Lepisosteus oculatus: one gene and its partner. The protein of the gene in region 2 purifies or fractionates together with the protein of the main gene of each other region. This does not show direct contact. Links are inferred from orthologs where the notes say so. Each region holds a gene or a part of one and is shown on either strand. Other genes may lie near its edges.

Region 1 (10,369 bases), about 5.1 Mb from region 2:
TATTAATTTAAGATTGAATAAATTCGACTGTAAAACAAAACAATGTAAATGTTGATGATTTAGGTTTTTGTTATAAAGGATTAAAAGAATGTTCTATTTACAAATTATTCACACCGTCTTAGGATTTTTCCCCCACACTGTTTTACAGTATTATTTTCGATTTTCCACAATAGTAACATAAGGTACAGCCTAAGACAATAAAGACATTGTACAAACTGAGCTAGCGTGAGACAATGGGAGATGAATGGTGGCTGGAAGAGCACAGAGACAGATTACCCAGCCGTCTGTGCATCATGGATGCAATTCTCCTCATATCTCTACTCACAGCTGGTACGCACAGCCTGTACTGTCTCAAACACTGTCGGTGTGGCTGCTGCTGGCCGCACCAGCAATTGTTAAAATGTGAACTCAATCTAGTTTAAAAACCAGTATATTCTTGGAGGTGCCATAAAACACAAATGTGAAAATTATGAGCATGTAAATCAAGAGCTACTCATGCTGCTATATTGCATCTTATGCTTCCGATACTTTTTCTACTGCAGGGAAGCACTAAAAACATGCCCATGTATTTAACACAGAGGAGGCGGTACTATTGTACTGTGACATTGACAGAAATACATTTGGGCGATAAGCGTTTCCAAGTCCGGGAAATCAATGTCCTTGCACAGGAGCCAGGTATAATGTCATAGACCCGCTCGCGTTCGGAAACCTTGTCCTCATTAAAGATTCCTGTGGGGATGTCAGGCTGTTCCCAGGACACCCTTCACTGTGGTTTGCACTGCTGCACAGGCTGGCCGTCTTTGTTCTGTGCCATCTGCAGTGGCCTTCCAGTACCCTTGCTCAGTCAGGAATACACTTCAATCTCCTCCGCTGCGCCTCATGGAAAACATCCGCAGGGAGATTCATCAAGGTGCGACATTCTTCACCTCTTTTTGGTCGTGAACACAAACCTTTTATTTATACTTTCTTGTGGCTGTAGATCTCTATGCTGCCTTGTCATAAGGTGATGTAAAAACAACACTACATCCCTCTTCCTAAGCAAGGAGTGGTGGCACTGTGGCTAAGGATCTGCGCCTGTGGCTGGAGGGTTGCTGGTTCAAATCCTGCGTCCAGCAGAGGAATCCTACTTCGTTGGGCCCCTGAGCAAGGCCCTTAACCCCAGCTGCTCCAGGGGCACCGTATAAATGGCTGACCCTGCGCTCTGACCCCAGGCTTCTCTCTCCCTGTCTGTGTGTCTCATGAGAGCAAGCTGGCGTATGTGAAAAGACAAATTCCTAATGCAAGAAATTGTATATGGCCAATAAAGTGATCTTTGTGCTGGCCGTTATCAGCTGCAGCACTGCTTCAGCTCGATGCGTCTGCTTGCGTTCCAAGTTCTAATTCCAGTAGACACAGCCGATGTAGGAAGTGTCAGTTAAAGGTCAAGCAATTAAAGAAATACAAGAAGGATGAAGAGGATCAAAGTTTTGTTGCTATTTTTATTTTTGTTGCATAAGCGTTTGTCAGCAGTCTTATCAATGACTTTTCGTTCTGTAAGACAGAAGGGTCAGGACAACTTCATTGCATCATCCAGCATCCAATACGTTGAAAGTTGCAAGGCTCATTTGGTCTTATTTTCTTAAATTCTTTAATTAAAATCATAAAACAACGACTCCAAATCTTCACTGTTAAGTACCACAGCTCCTGCTAGATCTGCTGGGTCCACATCAGTACGAGATACAGAACCGTGCTGTCCGGGTCGGATCCGAGCAGCAGCAGTGGAAACGCCTTCCAGCTGCAGCTCAGTCAAACCAGCCCACTCATCTACAGCTGATAACTGCCAGTGAAAGTGGGGCAGATGGAATAGAAACACCTCTGTATCGATGCATTGTTAGGCTGCCAGCAGGGAATATTTGGTGATGCGCACGTTTGGGATTTCCAAAATCTGTCAGCAAATTTAAAAAACTTTTAAAAACTGATCACGTTTAAGATGCCCTTCTTTTTTCAAACTTATTACTCTATTTCAAATACATAGTTTGAAATTTTACAGCATCGTGCAAAAGTGGTCTAAATGACCTCTTTGTGCGTTTTTCTTAAGTCTTCCTATTTGTCTAGGATTTTTAAATTCTTTGACATACAGCTCTCTCCAGAAAGAGCCAGTGAATGGACTGGCACATGCATCTGTTAACAGGACAAGATTGTGTAGCCCTCTGTGCTTTCTGAATGAGCCCCCGCTCACACCTCTGCGTGCCCTGAATGAGCCCCCGCTCACACCTCTGCGTGCCCTGAATGAGCCCCCGCTCACACCTCTGCGTGCCCTGAATGAGCCGCGATATCTGGGGATACCTGCACAGATGGCAGCAATCAGCCCCTTCCTGCCTTCCTGGTCCTTCAGCACGTCTTTCACCACTGGAGACTGGAAGAAAAAACACAAGGAGTCTGGCCACACAATTCAACACTCGTATGCGCAGTAATGAAAAGTAGAGTTCTGCGCCTCTCATAGGATTCCCATGTTACATAAATACAATTACACCTTGATGCCATTAGGGGCAGCTGTTTAACTCCACACTATGTGACAGAATTAGGTTTTTGTTTCTATTAAGTAACTCTTTTCCGTTCCTATTCACCTGTCCCACTCCCCCACAGTTTTAGTGGAAACTAGGGCCCTGTGCTGCGGTCCTGCTCTTACCTCAGACAGATTCTGCGCCCCCAGGTTTCCTCCGGGTAAAACCACCACATCGTACGGGCCCTGGGGAGAAAAGGGCAGGCCACATCACTGCCGATACAGCCCTGCTTTTTCACACATCGCCACAGAACACCTCTCTACAAACGGACGGGCAGCCTTCGTTAATCCATCTGCTGTATGCAAAATAATTTGAAGCACAAAATGCCCAATGTGACCCACCGTGTGAGGAGAGCAGAGTTAATACTTCAGCCTTTACTCCTGAATCTTCCGCTAGGCTGACACAGGTGCCATTGTCAACAAGTGCGCAAGTTAACCTACAAAAAGTGCAAAGTAACCTACAAAAGCACCACTTAAAGAAAAAAAAATGGTACCACATAAATCTTAAATTAATCCTTGCCGAATCCATCAATAAATCCTAATAAAGCCCAGCCCTTGTATTCCTCAAGTCTGCAATAATATTGATGATTGTGGCCCACCAGTGTTGTTTCTTTTAACCGTTTGCCAGAAAGGAACACGCAGTGTTTTACTGTGGGTAAACTGGTGGTCAAATGCAGAGTTTAGCCTGGGTTCAGAACTACAAACTTGAATTTGACGGCATTTAAACACAAACTCCTTTCAACACATGGCGCGCACGCGTATGGGACACTGCTGCTCGGACCTGCGCGCGGGCTTCCTCCAGGCTGGCATCAGGGCAGATGAGCACGTCTCGGCTGCACTGCACGGGCTCCTTCCCCGACAGGCCGGCCAGCGTCACGCTCACCTGCGGAACAAGCGCCCTCCGTCAGGTCGATGGGTTTCTGGCCTCACACGGTGCCCAGAAATCCTTTACTGGCCTGATTCATTTCAACCCTCTTTGTATGCATATGCCGGTGATCAAAAGAATGGCATCACTAACAAACACATAAAATTACGTGCAAAGGTAAAGTCAGAGGCTAGCAATGCTTTCAAACACTGTTGGGCATGAGGCCAGCTTTACACACGCTTGCAGATGAGGCCTTGTGGGACGGCGTCCCATTCTGATCACTGAGCCTGGACTCAGGAGCTCCTTAAGGTCTCTGAGCCTTAGAGAACGCATCCCAGTGATGGACGGGGCTTGTTTCGCCTAACATTACAGTTCTGCCTCAATCAGGCAGCCTTCGCAATATTACAGAAGTCATTTTAATTAGAAATGAACTACCCAAGAACATCCCTGCAGCTAACTGACATTTACAGTAGACCCCAGATCTATCTTTATCACATTCCGCGTCACTGACCCCGCCTCTCTTCAGTTTATTGGATCACTTTCACGCCACTTTTGCACCGTGCCTGCAGACTGGTTAAGAGACATTGCTCTTTCCAGAACTATCCCATGAAGATGCACAGTGATATTCAAGTCACTGACAAGTAAATGAAAATTACAGTACCATTGTACTGTAGTCAACTGCAATGTGCAAATGCCGAGCTCTCGCATACATATTCATCTTTCAAAATCTAATCGTCCTAAGACTACGGCCTTTACTATTAACTCGGTGTCCTTGTTTTTGAGTGCTTTGTAGTATTAAACGTATTAATAATTCCAATCACTTGTTAAAAATGAAGACTTCATAGCAGCAGACAAAAATGCATCGCAGCCTTGTAGATAGCGTAACGCCGATTATTCGTCGTTATTACCGTGGATGACCGTTTCAAGGCACCGATTCATACTCAAACATCTGCTGCAACGCTGGCGGTTTATTTCGTAATTTCTTTCAGTACAAACACAGTTATGTCTTTTGTGGAAGCAAGAATATATCATATACAAGCAATAACTAAAAAATAGTTCTCTTATTCTGCAGAACAGAAGGAATGCGCATCATTAGGCCTGAGGATAGCACGTTGTTTTCATGCACCACCTATGCTGAGGTAAAGTTTAAGCGTGTCAAACTGCCGCATACAGTACAGACCCCGGCTCTGCGCATGATGTCCACCGGGATAACCGTCTCCATCTCCTCAGCACCCTTCGACAGGATAACCAGAGCCCGCTTGGCTGCCATTTGTGTGAACTCTGAAGAGCCAAAGCAAACTTCTTAGATTGAGGTTGTGAACAAAAGGCACTTGCAGACGACCTGAAACTCAACAGTGTCCACACACACACACTTCCCTAGCTACGGCAAAGGCTCGGGGACAAACAGCGCGACCGAAATGCCACGGGGGCTCAATTTTATGAGGCGCGTTCTTGATCCTAATCCACAAGGCGTGTACTTAAAGCTTTATTACCATCATTATTTCGTGTCCATACTTAACTATAAATGAAAACAACACTTGCATAACGAAATGAAGAAATGGGAAGCTTCTCAGTATGAGCTGCTGTTGGCAGGTGTGACACTTCTTCAGCCACTAGAGGGCGGTGTCACCTTAGTGATGAAGAAGCATCCTATGTGGTCCATGACATTAACACATTTTCTTTATATGTACTGTATATAGATGCTAAATATAGATATTTGCTATTCTTCTTCAGAGGTGTTAAGGGCACATGTCCACATGGTTTAATACCAGAAACAATATATATCCATTAAATTCTGCGATGTGAACACTTTTTCTAAATGCTGATGTAGAATCTCTGAAGGATGTGACATATTCCAAAAAAGCTAAAAGTGCAGGACGTCTGTGCCTATACAGATTCACCCAGTACTGCGCTGTACCGTTTTCCCTCAGACATCTCCAGCCTCTTGTGTAAAAGACGCTTCTGCACGGGCGCCTTTGTGAGAGCCCGCAAAAAGTTCAGTTTTGTGTGGGGTGTGTCACACTTATTATCACTTTTGCGCCTTTTAAAATGTTGCGATCAGCACCTTGTCAGAAATGTTCAATGTAGTCAACTATATTCAAATACAGGTTGCTTAAACTGTAATTAGTTTAGTTATAGATTACGTTTTCTCCACGTTCCTTGTGCTGTACTTTATACTTAAAAAGAAGATTTGGGATATTTTGTCATTATTTACCATTCCTAGGTTAGTAGTAGACGTGGTGGCAGCTGTATTGGTGTGTATTTAATGTTAAATTACAGTAGACCTACAAGCATAGATATTTTCTTAGGATATTTCCAGCAAATATATTAAAAGTCCCTATAGAGTGCATTAAACTGTTTGCACTTTGTTTTGTTTTTTTACACTTGTTTTATGATCGAGAGACTTTCTGTTAGTAAGAATTCCATTGTACCAGTACCGGTTACATATGGCAATAAAGTTCATGTTCAAGTTCAAAATATAATTGAAGTACTATACTTAAAATAAAGTACCCTCAGAATCTTTTACTTGATTTAAGTCCAATTGATTTAGTACTTCCATTGGTCTTAGTTTGTCAATATTTGAAATATATTAATATTATTCAAAATATATTTTGAAATGCACTGTTTTTTTATTCTTCAAGATGTGAGCGATGTGAACGCGCTCTCAATAACTTTCAGATGGCACAACCCATGAACAACAAATGAACGCACCAAAAAGCGCTAACATCACCAGTGTCCACAGGGGGGCGCATAGTGCACAATGTGGATCCCTGTAGATAGGTAACCGCACTCTCAGTGTGCACCGTGATTTTCAATAGGAAATTGTTCTCCGTGGATTCTTGTCCATTGATCACGTCCACGTTCAGAACGTCTCGTAAGGGTCAGGATAGATCCTATTTGTGTAAGTGCTAGATTTCAATGCTCTGTAGTAATCTGTTCTGACCACAGTTCAGGTGGATAGCTGCGTCAGCATGCGGAGTCGGCAAAGGAACAAGAAAATAGATTTATTCCATGCTGAGAAGAGAAGATGTGAAGCCTTGTACAGCTGTGATCCCGACACTTGTTCTGACAATATGGTTGTTCCAATAGGACCGAAAACTTTACGCGAACCCTGTATGTCGCAGACAATATTTTTTATACTCACAATTCAATGAGTCAATTACAATATACTGGTGGGAATTTGAATCCCTGTCTGAATTATTGGGGTAAGTGCACCGACTGGGCCCAGGAAGTCTGCTTCCTTACAAGCTACGCCGTGCAAATAGCTCAGCTGCATAAGCGAGTCATAAACGGACACCAGGGAATTATATTTTCATGTAAATCAGAACGTGAATGGTTTGGAGATTTAATATGCAGGCACTTGTCCCAATTTAATGCACCAGTGTGCATTCTGCAGTTGCATTTTCATATTTGTGCAACTTAAAAGAGCCCAATGAAACAACGGATTAAATAAAGATTTGGGGTGCTGTAGCCGGCCTATTTTCTACGTGCCTGTTTGCAAATCCAGAAGGCAGTAACGATTACCAAAATATGTAACCGGGATCACTGAGCCTGCCGCAGTCGTACACTAGCTATTTTCCCTAAACAGGCATTTATTTATTTTTTATTCTTTACATAAGAAGCTTATAGTGAGCATATGATCATACTGAGGGAATGCTTATTAAACTCGCTTGTAAACCAGGTAACCTCGTAAGAATAGGGATTAAAGTCTGAAACACTGACGATGCAAATTTGCCCGCTGAGCCATCTGTGCGATTCTGCAAACTTAAATGAGGCGTAGCGGGCGCTTCTTCCTAAATATCCAACTTTCTTCCCCGACGCTCTTTGTTGTTGTCATGCAGGAAAACCTCTTCCAAAGGCAGGCGGAGAATAAACAAAGACCTCTTAAAGAGTAATTGCTTTCAAAAGGCTTTTCTTCTTCTTAGCCCTGTACCGTTTTCACGATTAATGTTGCTGTTTCAACAAAGCAGCTCACCGACTTATTGTACCAATACTGGTTACAGCTAATCTGCTCTGCTGACTAGGTAGAAGGCCTTTAGCTAAGGGCACCTGTAGTGTGCAAACAAACATAGCCACAGTATAATTTAATTTAATTTTACAGCCTGTAGCTACTGCTAAGACCCAAAAGAAAATATCCTCCACGTCCTATTTTTAACCACAAGGCTGCCATTTTTTCCTTCCTCCCTCAACCTCCCTGAGGAGACAGAGGAGGCTACCTCGACCCCTCCCTGTAGATCACGTCAGGGGCGTAGCGGTGGAGGAGAGGTGGCCATCCCAGCCACCCTGGACATAAACACCATGCTTCCTTGCATGTACACCTCCCCATAACCCCATATACTCAGATCCCGGATGTGTGCGTTTCTTTACAGTTCCCAGATTGAAATTTAAAGCCCCAAACAGGGTCAGAGATAAATTCCCTCCCCTCTCCGATTCGGCTGTCTCAGATCAGCGCGTGCTGAAGTTATGACTTTACCATTCAAATCTGGAATGTTGGATATCAAGGCTATCAAGAAGAGATCCATGGCCCAGTATGCTACAGTCCACTAAGAGAGAAGTAGGGGTTAAATGCCTTCCTCTCGGTCACTAAGCTAGCGTACTCTAATGGGCACGCCTCCTGAAGTGGCACATGGTAAAGGGAGTACTTCCTTGTTGGCAGTTGGCGATGAGGTCTTCCAGGTGCTTTAAGAGCCAGCAGCCAGGGGTCAAACAGCCGGGCAGGGCTGGTTCACACAACATGCTTCTGCGGCCAGGTGCAACCCCCTCAGAGCATGTCACACAGTCTGGCCAGCCCACCCTGCCTCAGAGTCTCAAACACAGGCGATGGGGACGGAGGAGAGGGAATGGGGCAGGCGTGCTCCGTCTGTCTGCTGGGGAGACCTGGAGTAAACGCATCGCAGCGGCCATCAGGTCAGGCCGATCGTCAGTCGGCACACCGCAGGGACAGGCGAGGCCGGCTGGCAGGGATCACACCTGTGGAAGCTCACAGAGGGGAGGCTGACAGGTGGATACCGCTGCTTCAACAGCTTAAACAGCTCCGAATATTCATTCACGAGCGCATTAGAATTGAATTTAATTGGGTATTAACATTATTACATTACAGAATGAAATATGGCTAGGAATTGCTAAATTCCGGGAAAAGGAAAATGATATTCGAATGAACAGGTGAGATTATAATTGAATGCAGATGAGGAAAATGATTATTAGACTGAACAGGAGAGCCACTATGTGTCCGTACCAACAGAGCACCGATTCATTAAATAGCCATTAATACTGGCTGTCTGCTTTCGGCTGGCTCACTCACCTCCACAAGTGACAGCAGACTGGGAGAGCTGTTTTTACGTGCCACACTGGCTGTTTAAAATGTGAGCGCAAATCGCCACTGACACTCTTGGATCCTTCCCAAATTCATGTCCCACCAACCACAGTGCTTAAGGGTGCTAATTTAAACCAGATTTAACGCTTACAAGTAAAAAAAAAACAAACGGATATTAACAAGTGTCAGCCTCTTTGATCTACTGCTGGCAGAACTACAAAACATGTTTTCTGATTTAATTTTTTTCAGTGTGGGTATGTATTTGTGCGAGAGCGTGTGTGTTCACTATGGTATCGGGTGTCTTGTTCCCTGGATTTGCAATGGGTACTTCCCCGCAGATGGGATCTTCTTTCATTTAAGAAGAGAAAGACCCTGGGCGATCTCTACACTGCTACATGGCTCATTAGCGCTTTCTCTCACACCCCTCCAGACTTTAGGTTCTGTTTTGACACAGTTTTATCTAGCGAGCAACAGAGGTTTCTTGAGAAGGCTGAAGGGGTTGTAAAATGCATCCACTGGGTGTTCCATAATGCAATGCTTTAAATGAAAGCAAAGAATTCCAGAAACCGCTGTCTGCTAAATCAACAACCATCAGAAAGGAAGAAAGCATAGCAGTGTAGGGCAGATATCATAGTCTCCGAAAAAGTTATCGCCAAACAAAATTCAAAACCGAGATTTCTTTTTATATATCTAGACTTTGACATCATTCTTGTTTTATTATTTCAACCAGTTTGGAACCAGCAGTTGGTTTGGGGTAGTCCTACCAGGCTACATGTTCTGTACCCACACGGGGAGAAAGAGGACCCATGCTAGACTCATTCACTCTTTTGGCACTTAAAGTTCCACAAGGCCTAATCAGAGACTCAACAGCAATCAGAGCAGAGGTTCTCCGTGACAGCACTGCAAGCCTGCAAGCACCCAGGAAGTAATAAGGAGTCCCTGCTGCACCAGGAGCTGAGAGACGACTGGCCTGCTACTGCTCATCCCGTTCTGGTGGCATACAGACAGTTGTGTCCTGCTCTTGGGACAGTCACTGTCTGCCACTGCTCGAACCAGTGACTCCTGAGTCACCAAGATCAACCTGCACTCTGAGAGAACAACTTTTCTGATGGAGCTGCTGAGAAGCTCCCCAGTATGGGTGATTTTTGAACCACAAAATGAGTTCTTGGATTCACCTTGTTGGTTCATAATAAGGTCAGGAGGGGATTGGGATGTTTATTTTCTCAGTTGAAAGGGTTTCTCCTGTTCCCTGAGGTTGTGAGCTCTGTCATACTGCCTGGTGACAGTTAAGAGTACGAGTTTAGTTGGAGAAAGGTTTCCAACAACAACAATCCATTAAACTCTTCAAATAGTGGCCAAGGACTTCATATTCCCTTCATTATATCCTTTTAAAATATTGCAGTCCCCAAACACTCCCCTAAACTAGAGTCTACATTTTTTACAAACACCTTTCTGGTCTCTGTTGACCACTACAGCCCCACCTCCCTCATCTACCCCTGGTGTTTTTGAACACAGAATTGCAAGCGCAGTCAGCTACAGTACAGTCAGAATCAGTGTGTGACAGTAACAAAAGACACCTTTTGCAGGGGTTGATGGACACAGGGCATCTCAGACTGGACATATTTGTGATCAGCCTAAGCAGACATCT
Region 2 (10,281 bases):
TTCGGATTTAGCCCCTCCACGAGTGAGTCACTGAAGAGTCTCGCCGCAGTCCGAGGAGTGTAATGTTACAGACTATTTTTATACACCAACAACCTGATCCCTCATTTCCACTCTACTGTACTGTACTTTATACGAGAGGCCTGAAAGGAGAGTTTCAACAGACCAGCTCTTTGGCTCTCAAATGGAAGAAATACCATCCCTTCGAACGGCAGACTAACAGCATCGTCAATCCTTGATTCACGAAACTCCCAGGCATGACCGAAGGCTTGAACCCTGTATTTTCTTCCCCTGCTAAAGCTCATACCTGTGCCTCAGCAGAATATTTCAGGAAAATGACACTAAAGGCATAAGGAGATGGGGTTCTGCATGAATCTGCTTAATTCGTCTCCCATACCAGAATCTAGAACCTGTGATTATTTACAAACTTGAGTCCATTACTGCGAAGAGGATTCTTCACTTCCTACCAGTGGACCTGACACGGCACGTGGAACCGATCCCTCATGACGCTGATAAGGGCTCAGGGTTAAGCCAAGCAGGACCTGACCTGCGGCTCTTCCACACAAACTCACGAAACATGCCTCCTTATCTCTCTCTCTCATGATAATTATGTCAACTCCTGCCCCCTCCCCACTCATTTTACCTTTCTTAGTGTAGAGGTCCACTTCCACAGTGGGGTTTCCACGGGAGTCAAAAATCTCACGGGCGTGGATCTTCAGGATGGACATGATGGCGGCTCTGGAACGAAAGGGGGGGGGGGGGGGACAAACGCCGGTGACCAAACCGATCTGCCTGGTGGGGCGCCCCCTGACCACGCTGCTGCCCCCGGTTTAAAACAAGCTCATGCAACAAGACCAGGGGGCAGCGAAACCTCCGAGCGAGTTTCCCCACGGCCCCCTCCTGGGGGAAAGGGGCATCGCATAAGGGCTACCTGCCTTCGGAAGAACAACCGAACGAGCCACGAGACAACTTAAAAAAAAAACCTTTGTGCTCCGAGAAGGAGCACAGATCCACCTGGAGCCAGAGGGGGGGTCTGCCCCCAGTTCTCCCCATGGCTGTGCAGGTCTTCCTCTCCTCGGCGGGCAGCTGGGTCTCCACCGGTCCTGTATTCCTACAGAAGCTCTGGCAGCAGCCTTGCTCTGGAAAGAGCAGCCCTGCCTTGGGCCCTCGCTCAGCAGGTTCTCCCCAGTCCGCGCTGGGGAGACCGCAGAGACACCCCCTCCCCCAGCACACCAGCGCGTTCCCTCCCAGCGCTCCACGGCACGACCCGACCAGCACCAGCACCCGGACAGACGTCTCTTCTGCCCCAACGGGCCGAGCGGTGGAACGCGGTGGAGACGACGCTCTTAAGCGCTCATGCAAACTCATTGTGAATAAAACAAAAACTGTTGCAATTCGTTTACAATCAAAAACTACACTGCTACATCCCAACTTTCAAGGATTATCGTCTATAGAGAGCCTCAAAGACACAGCCTCAGCTCAACAATTGATCCCGATTTGCGTTTTTCAAGAACTGGGTTCAGCGTCCAGTTTTAGATGTCTTCAGACGGACCTTCTCCACGTCAGCCGTCTGTCAGTGTACAACCTGGTAACAGGTGGCCAGCAGCCTATTTCCAGAACAGCGGTAAAGCCTAGATCAGATCGCCAATGTGCTATAAATCATCTTATCGATGCACTAATCAATCATCCTTTTCATTCTGACATGCTTCTATTGTTGTTTAAAACTAAACTGTCCTGATCCAAGGGCAACAGGACACCCTCAACACTGCATCTGAAAATGAGTCTAACTTTGCCAAATGAGACACCTCAGCTTAGTCCCTACAGCAACACATCAGGCATCAAAACTGGGGCCCTTTAACCTTAAGGCACTAGGGGCCAGGGAGACTAAAGTGCTTATTGGTAAGGATACCGATTTAGTTTAGGCTTCGTGGGCTAATACCTTTCAAGCTCACAAAATGAGTCAGTGCTCAGATGTCAAGTGAGGCGCACCCAACCAATAAAAGCCTATTTAGACTTTTAGCGAGATGCCCTGCGCAGCACTCCCTCTCGATCCATTAATGTCTGCGCGATGGAGATGGACCACTGGAAAACTGCCCCCGGCTGTCCCTAGGAGCTAGCAGACCCGTGCTGTCCTTCCCTCGTCCACACGATCGAGTGGGACGGCTGTTTGAATGGAGCCACAGGCTTTTAGTCGAGTTCAGCTTTTGGCCAGCCGGGGTTAAAAACAAACAAACTTGCTATTCACAGCGAGTCTATTCTAGCCAAGGTGCTCTTGGTTACAAAGCTGTAGGACAGGGGTCTCTGCTCTCGGAGGAAACAGCCAGGAAGAGAGACTGTTAAACTGATCAAACTGCATCAGGATGGCTAAGAAATGCACTTCCGAGTAAAGAACAAAAAAATAAGCTGTTGCATAGTAAATCTAGTTTTTGAGTTAGAAGCCTACAAGAAGCTTATCTTTTGTACCCTGATCTGTACCCACGGCCAGTGCAGGTCTCCGTGTCAACATTACGGTGTCTGCAATGGGCTTTCCTTCACAGCCAAGACTTCAATATTCCTCACCAACGCGGACAGCCTGAGAGGCCTGTATATAACGACTCGCAGCCTCGGCAACAGGCCGCCCGTGCTATCGAAAAACTTATTTCCAGGACCAAGTGACTTATTTCCTTAAACGCCAATTGCGCTGCATGAATCAGACATCTGCAATTTCACAGGAAAGAGCATTAATCATGGCCAGTACTAACAGAGTCATAACCCCCAAAGCACATTTTCAGGTGCACCCTCTGTCCTTTGGGTTTTATAGGCATTTATAACTAGTGGTTAGGGTTGAAGCTTGTTATATCAACACTTAGCTTCACTTCAACTTAGCCAATTACCAGAAGGTCCTACAGCTTTCCTGGACCAGGATGGGAGATCCCCCCTACTCAATATGCAGCCATTCCAGTGCTCTCCAGTAGTGAGCAGTCCTGCTCATAGATAAGATAAGATCACTTTATGAGCCCATTTCTTGCACTGTCTTTTCACATACCCCAATTCGCAAACAACCGGGGGGTCGCAAGAACTGAGGGACACAGACTGGGGTCCCGTGATGTTAATGAAAATAAAACTACTGGGGTCTCCCAAACGGTGCTGGTGGAAAGCAGTCTGAGTGGCTGAGAGGACAGCCCTTTCACCGCAAGAAACGTGGTTTCTGCTTCACATTGAGGAATCAGACCGCTAGAGACCTGAGTGGGCGGGAGGGACGTGTCCCCATTTACTGAACGCGCCGAGCATTTCCAGTTCCTGGCACACTGCCTCTGGAGGCAACGTGGTTTTCAATGTCGATCTGGGTTTCGGGGTCACCCCCGAAAAGTCCACTCGACACCCCTTTTTTTCCTCTCAGACACGCACGATGTCGTGTTTTTTCCACCCCCACCCTCCCGGGTGGTGCCGGGGACTCCGCACAGGTGCGGCGCTCGCAGCGCCTCGGGGAGGACGTGGGTGTTGAGGGTGACCCCAAAACCCCGAAAACACGATTGACATTGGAACCGCTACCTCCGAAAGCGGCGTTGCCTCCAAAGGTCGTGTCCTGGGAGCTGGAAATACTCGGCTTGTTCAGTAAATCAGAAAGCGTCGCCCGTCCCCTCCAGCCGGGTGTGTTAAGCGAGGCAGCCCGGAAGGCCTCGAGTCTTATATTCGCTCCAATTATAGTGTTTCTGCGTCTCTAAACCGGGATCTCGTCTCTTTCCCTCCCCACCTCCAGAAGTGGTCTTTTTTTTAGGAAAAAAACCCCCAACAACAATTAAAAAAAATTAACAGGAGGAGGAGATGAAAGTTACGTTTTAAACGCATTAAAAAAACTCACGTAAAAAAAACGCTACAGACAGACTGGCGTTTCCCAGGAAGCAGAAAAAAAGCCAGTCTATTTAAAGTTCCGACACGGACAACATGGATGTCCCTGGGATTAAAGACCCGCTTGAGAAGCGTTTTACTCCCGAGATACAGTTAACCAGGAACTACGAGCTACAGAGCAGAGTTCAGAACGACAGGAAAATTGCACAATGATATCAAACGTTGGTCTTGTAACAGAATGATCTCAGCATTTCTATACGGCTTTGTCAAGAGAGGAAACGGCGACCGCTTAGCGACAGACCCGTTTCAAACCGCCGGCAGCCCCGATATGACGCTCTCCGCTGGGGCTGAACTTGAACCCGATACCCCTAATTGAATTACACCCCCGGCGGTGCACCGAGCGAACCCTTCACGCTCCGCCCCCCAGACGGGCAAAACCTTTAAGATAATTAACAGGTTTAAAGAGAAATCGCCTAAAATGGGCGATTAAAACCTTCCAACTAAAATGACAAAACTTCCTCTCTGACACAATGTACTGCCGGGCCCCCTATTAATTAGCTGCAGCCCCATAGCGTCTCGACACCCGCTTACCTCCCGGAGCTTTCCAGGGGAAAGCAGGGTATAGAGAGAGACACTGATTCAGGTCACAGCATGTGAATTAATTCGGAACTTTCGGGAAATCAAAAATATTAAAGACGACGCGTGCATAGAAAGCGCACGAGATGGGGAACCCCCCCCCCCACACACACACACACCCCAGAAACGAATAAAACAGAGCTTACAAAACGGGGCCCGCTCATGATTAAACTGGGCTAAAGGCTTTATACGTGGTGCTGAGCCGCTCTTACCTGACTGTGCGGCGGTGAAGGAGAAGGAGAAGGACAGGGGCTCGCGCTGGCTGGCAGACGGAGAGAAGCAGGGCTCGCGCAGGGCAGCGCTATCAGGAAGAGGGCTCGCGCCTGATTGGCTCCTGCGGGGCTCACGCGACACGCCCGCAACTCGGGGTGGGGGGGGGAGAGGAGGAGGAGGAGGAGGAGGAGGCCGGTGCACGCGAGGCTGGAAGTTTCCACCGAGCGCAGCGGCGCCCGCCGGGCGGATGCGGAACACGTTACTGTTACCGTCTGCGTCAGATTTCTTTTTAAAAAGTCGCGTTTTCTTTCCAAACGAAACGAACGAAGCCCCCACTTTAGCGTCCCCTCGTTTCGCAGCATCTCCACAGGCCGAGGTGAAACCCGTTATCGGAAGCAATGCACGTATTTGTAACATTAAAAAAACCGCAGATAACGCCTGGAGCCGAACTGGGGCCGCCGTCGTGAGCTTTGTCGGGGCTCACCGCCTGTTGCGCACGTGGGTAGGGGATGGGTCCTTTATTTCGGGGTGCTGCACGGGTTTCAAGGATGTAACCAGATCCCAGGATGAAAGGTGCTTCTCCAGGGACAGTCCCGACCCAGCCCCCCCCCCGCTCGGGATGCGGTGGCGCAGTGAGGACTACGTGCCGGGAATCAGCAACGCTTTCCGCGCGACGGCGCTGCGTCACTGCACAGGGAGCAGACCGCCGCCCGAGCCAGGCTTTCCACGGCCGATTCACGATTCAGTCATCCCCAAACCACTCAGGGTGACCCGCAGATTGATACAGAACAGTCATTCTCCTTCGCCAGACACCCGCCGCAGCCCCGAGTGCGAGCTGACATTTTCCTCATCTTTATTTTCTCTTTACGTAGCCGAACACATAACATAGGTGCACATACACATGCTATAATACACACGGGAGATAGGCTGAGTGCCCCCATTATTCTTACACCCGAAGAAGGGTCCACAGCCGAAACGTTGTGTTTTCTTTCTTCTCCTTTCGGCAGGGAATAAACCCATGACCTGTTCCATGATGCATATCACTCGCGCATTTTCTCTGTCACGATCATTAGAAAAACGGTTCAAGAATAAGAAGGCGAGGGGAGATTCTCAAGCCCTGTAAAACTAATGCTATAATAAAGAGATACGTCAGTGATGAAATATTCTTCTTGTTCCTTTTTTTTAAAATAAATGAATACGTCCCAAGTCTAGGGGCGTGGGTGTCAGCCTTGGAGCTGTTGCGGTCTGGGCTCGACTGTGGGGTCGGGGCTCCTTCTGCGTGGAGTCCGCGTGGTCCTCCGGCATTCACGTGGGGTTTCCAGCGAGAGGCGGGCGGCCACGAACGAGGCGCCGTCTCCTCCCTTTCCCTGTCCCAGCCGGTAATAAACCCTCACCTGGTCCCCTCCAACAAGCCTGACGCAGCTCCCTGCCCCGACCTCTCTCACCCGGGGGGTCTGCGGCTTTCTGGTGGCGGGTGGGCGCCGGTTCAGCGCTTTCGGGGTGAACCCACGCTGCCGTGAACTGAGGGACAGACAGCTCCCGGGCCCCGTGTGTGGAGACGCCGAGGGGCTGCCTGGTGTGCTAGCGAGCAATGCGGAGGGATGGCGCTTCTGCAAACAGGGAACTGGAATCAGAAAACGCGCAAACCTTGTCTTTCCTAACGAGCTCGGCTCCGGGCGGAGAGACCTGTTACCCAATACCTGCAGCTTGCATAATTTATAACCGTGTTCGCCTCGGCGGCGTGTCTCGCTCACAGGCGCCCTTCATCAGAGCGATTGGAAGACAAAATGTCACTTTTTTTAGGTTTTTTTTCCGTCTCGGCAGGCAGGCGATGATGAGCAGATCTGCGCAAACAGCAGCACGGAATGGAGGACAGGGGTGTCCGGTCCTGATCCCGGCAGGCCCGTGTGTCTGGGTTTCGGTCCAGCTCGGCTAAACCGGCTGGTCCCTGGCTTAACCGGGCCGACCCACACCAGGGCCAGTCTTCCCAGAAGCCAATTAAGCTACCAGCATGTCTTTGGACGGACTGTGGGAGGAAACCGGAGCGCCTACAGGAAAACCACACGAACCCGGGGAGAACATGCAGACTCCACACAGACAGCACCCCAGGGCTGGAATTCAACCCTGGGGCCCAGCACTGCGGGGCAGCAATGCTATCCTCAATGTCCCTTCGGGATCAATAAAGTCTTGTCTATCTAACAACTGCACCACCCTGCTGCCCTTTTCGGTACCGACCTGTAGACATATATAAACACATTTGTAACGCACAAAATCTGAACAGAAATTGTAACCGTGCACAAGCATTCCTGAACACGGGGCTGATTCATTCTCAAAACGTCCTTTTTTTCCGCCATTGAATGATCAGCGGCAGTCATCCACCCCCCCACCCCCCCTCGAGGCCCTGTTGCCATGGCGAGGGCCCGTCCCCCGTCACCATGGCAGCCGGAGGAGTGCAGAACGGAGCATCAGCAATGGCGGACGCGCGCGGTGACCTTGAGGACGGCGGGACGCGGGAGCGCGCCGCCTGGTGGTTCGCCTGCGCCACGTCACGGACAGAGGCGGAAGAAAATGCGTTTCCAGGCAGGAACCCACATCATGACGTCCCAGGGCTTTCTGAGGGTAGAACAGTAGTCAGAAAATGATTCACTGAGATATTAGGAAGCAGTCGTGTTTTATTGAGACAGTTGTTCCATTCATTCTAACTTAACTTTGAATGAAACTCGTTTTGAGGCTTCAGAAGTAAGAACAACTACTGCCTGAATAAAAGAGCCCTTGTTTACTCTGGAGTCATTCCCAGCGTGTGTTCTAATATTAATGCACTCAATTAAAAAAACGCACACACACAATTGCAGCGGCACCCAATCTTTGCTCTCTTTGCCAGCTGTAGAAGACTCTTCCAGAGAAGTGGGGCACTGTTTGTATTAGTGTACCAGCATCCTGGTCTGGTCAGCCTGGACTGCATCAGCCCCACCACAGCACTGACACAAGCTTTCTGAGTCACTGCCATGTGATGGCTTCATTGTTCCAGCACGCCTACTCTGTAATCCGTTAAAAAGAAAAAAACAGTTTGAAGTTTTGTTTGCCTTGGAAGTTTAATGAAAGATGCCCATGGCTGTCTTGTGAGGGCAGGGGAGCTGACCCCAGTGCCTGAACTCTGAAGTCTGTCTGGGCTCTGGCCAATCAGACCAGGCTCTGCTGGGTACTGGGACCGCTGGTAGATAGCGGCTGCTGTGTGTCACCCAGCTGGGTCTCCTCCCAGGTGCAGAACACTTTGGGCTGCCAGGCGCAATCAGTCGTAAAGCTACTATTCATTTTTATTTATTCTCTACAAGGCTGGAAGCAAAATATTAGTTTTTTCCTCTCACCCAGTTCCAACCAGGCCAGCCCACTATTTCTTTCTCAAAGGTTTCAGTGAGGGTCTACACTGCCTCCTACTGGTCAGACGAAGAAGTGCAGCATCAGGGTCTCACTGTTCTGCCAGTGCCAACACCGCACAGCCCGGAGTTTCAGTGTACTTCTACGTCAGGGGGAAGCTCTTTTTTTTTTTTGAATGGAGTGTTCCATTAATTTAGTTCCCGAGGCAATATTTGCAAATAAGTTATGCCTCAGTGGTGCGTTTCTCACATTTGCCACCTCGTTTGAAAAAAGAAATAGTCATGTTCAATTCAGGCGTGGGGCTGGAAGACAAATACACGGCGAGAGGTGATCTATAAATCTATACCCGAGCCAGCCATGCCTGCGGCCCGACTCAAGTTTGTAAATAATTAATTTTATTGACTCCGGAAAACCCACACATTGCATAAAGGTTGATCCTTCAACCGATCAATACCCCCCTCCCCTTCCCAAATCAATTTCCATTCTAGACCAAATGAAAGCAGTGACCTTTGTCACCAGATGCAGGCTGAACATGGGTGGATATGACAAGATCACTCTATTGGCCACATACAATGTCTTGCAATAGGAGTTTGTCTTTTCGCAGACCCCAGCATGCTCTCCATGAGACACACAGATGGGAAGAGAAGCTGGGGGTCAGAGCACAGGGTCAGCCATTGTACAGCACCCCTGGAGCAGTTGGGGGTAAGGGCCTTGCTCTGGGGCCCTCCTCTACTGGCCGCGGGATTTGAACCAGCAACGTTCCAGCCACAGGCACAGATCCTGAGCCACAGAGCCACCACTCCGCCGCGGGGTGTCTGGGACCGTGAACAGTCGTGCATGCGACAGTACCGCATCTAGATGCTAGGAGGCATCCGAAAAGGCTCTCTGCGGTTAGAAGCAGAAGGGAACCCCGATACCCTGATTTGCTCACACAGGCCATTTCAGCCTCATGGTATTCATTTGCGAGGGGGAAGCCAAGACTACCTATAACCCATACAGGCCACATCCAGAGCTCGACTGAGAAAGCTTACAGCAGCAGTATAACCCAGCGGCATCTCTCGGAGAGAGCTTTCAAGATCTGGGTCCCAACTCAGCCAATTAACTAATTAAGCTAGTTAGGGGCAAAGAGGAGAGAATGGCGAGCTGCGCTGGTTTGCTGGCGAGAAGCACAAAACGTCAGCGATACATCTACGCTTCCATCCATAGGGTTGCGGAGCAGGCAGAGTGCAAGGCTGGATACACCCTGGATGGGATGCCAGTCCATCGCAGGGCAGGATACACCCTGGACGGGACACCAATCCATCGCAGTGATCTAAGCCTATAGGCCTTTAATAACTGACAGCCATGAGCCTAAGATCCAGGACAACATACAGTACTGCACTCATTTCTCCATTCTTACCCAGAACGCACCAGCTGCAAAAACTACACTCCGTGGTGCCAACGCTTGCAGTAATTCTTTCAGTGGGAACTGTTTCAGAACCATCAGTCGCTTGCCTGCTGCCTGCACAGTTCTCATACCTGGGGCGGGAGGAGGGATTGAGACAGGAGGTCTGGGGTCCGTGCATGCCTTTCTCTCAATCATTCTTCAGGACTTTCCCTTTCTGTCTCTGTGTGGGAGCATGTGACTCCCCGCTCCTGACCAGATGCCAGTCTGGTCAGGGGCTCCTGGCCGATGCCCATTCATGCAGCTGTGTGGATTGGGGGTGGGGCGGGTTCAAGTCACAGATGTCGGGTCACGAGTTCCTGCAAATAAACAATTAAAAATTAACATCATGTGTTGCCTAACGATGAACACAAAGGCTCATCCTACTCCACCGCGTATAGTATTCGTACACTGAAGGACATGAAAAACACCACACACGCATCGAAGCCACTGACCTTTCTTGTGTTTTTAATGTCTCTCAGTATATACTCATGTAGAGAGAAATAGGTTCATGCACATATTAAACCACTTTAATTTTAAACAACCAGTCTAAAAAAAAGAAACAGTTAAAATCATTTAAAATGAACTTTTGCAACAGCAGCAGGAATAGTCTCTTGCTGGAATTATTCCGGGTTTAAGGACGCCTAGAGAAAACAGAATGGCCCTGTCATGGTTGGGGCTCACAGATCACTAGCAATTTAAAAAAAAAGCCTGTAAAGTCAAATGCCTTTGGACCAACACGGCCTATAAAAAAGCTTCATTTTGTACTTATTCGTACCCTGGGAGGCTTGTGTCACGTGGCAAACCTA

Evidence for each region. Proteins that work in one complex are often made in the same cells at the same time.
Region 1: the proteins of eno1a (region 2) and park7 fractionate together in Homo sapiens (co-fractionation; 3 studies listed by BioGRID). This does not show direct contact. The link is inferred for Lepisosteus oculatus from reciprocal best matches to the Homo sapiens genes ENO1 and PARK7.

Annotation. Positions count from the first base shown.
Region 1 is NC_090720.1:6,609,432-6,619,800, reverse strand, and holds the start of park7 (Parkinson disease protein 7 homolog), read right to left. Parts: upstream 4,821-10,369; 5' UTR 4,678-4,820; coding exon 4,588-4,677; intron 3,426-4,587; coding exon 3,324-3,425; intron 2,729-3,323; coding exon 2,669-2,728; intron 2,396-2,668; coding exon 2,326-2,395; intron 1-2,325. UniProt on the Homo sapiens protein: Multifunctional protein with controversial molecular function which plays an important role in cell protection against oxidative stress and cell death acting as oxidative stress sensor and redox-sensitive chaperone and protease.
Region 2 is NC_090720.1:1,526,316-1,536,596, forward strand, and holds the start of eno1a (enolase 1a, (alpha)), read right to left. Parts: upstream 4,785-10,281; 5' UTR 4,674-4,784; intron 736-4,673; 5' UTR 726-735; coding exon 641-725; intron 1-640. UniProt on the Homo sapiens protein: Glycolytic enzyme the catalyzes the conversion of 2-phosphoglycerate to phosphoenolpyruvate. In addition to glycolysis, involved in various processes such as growth control, hypoxia tolerance and allergic responses.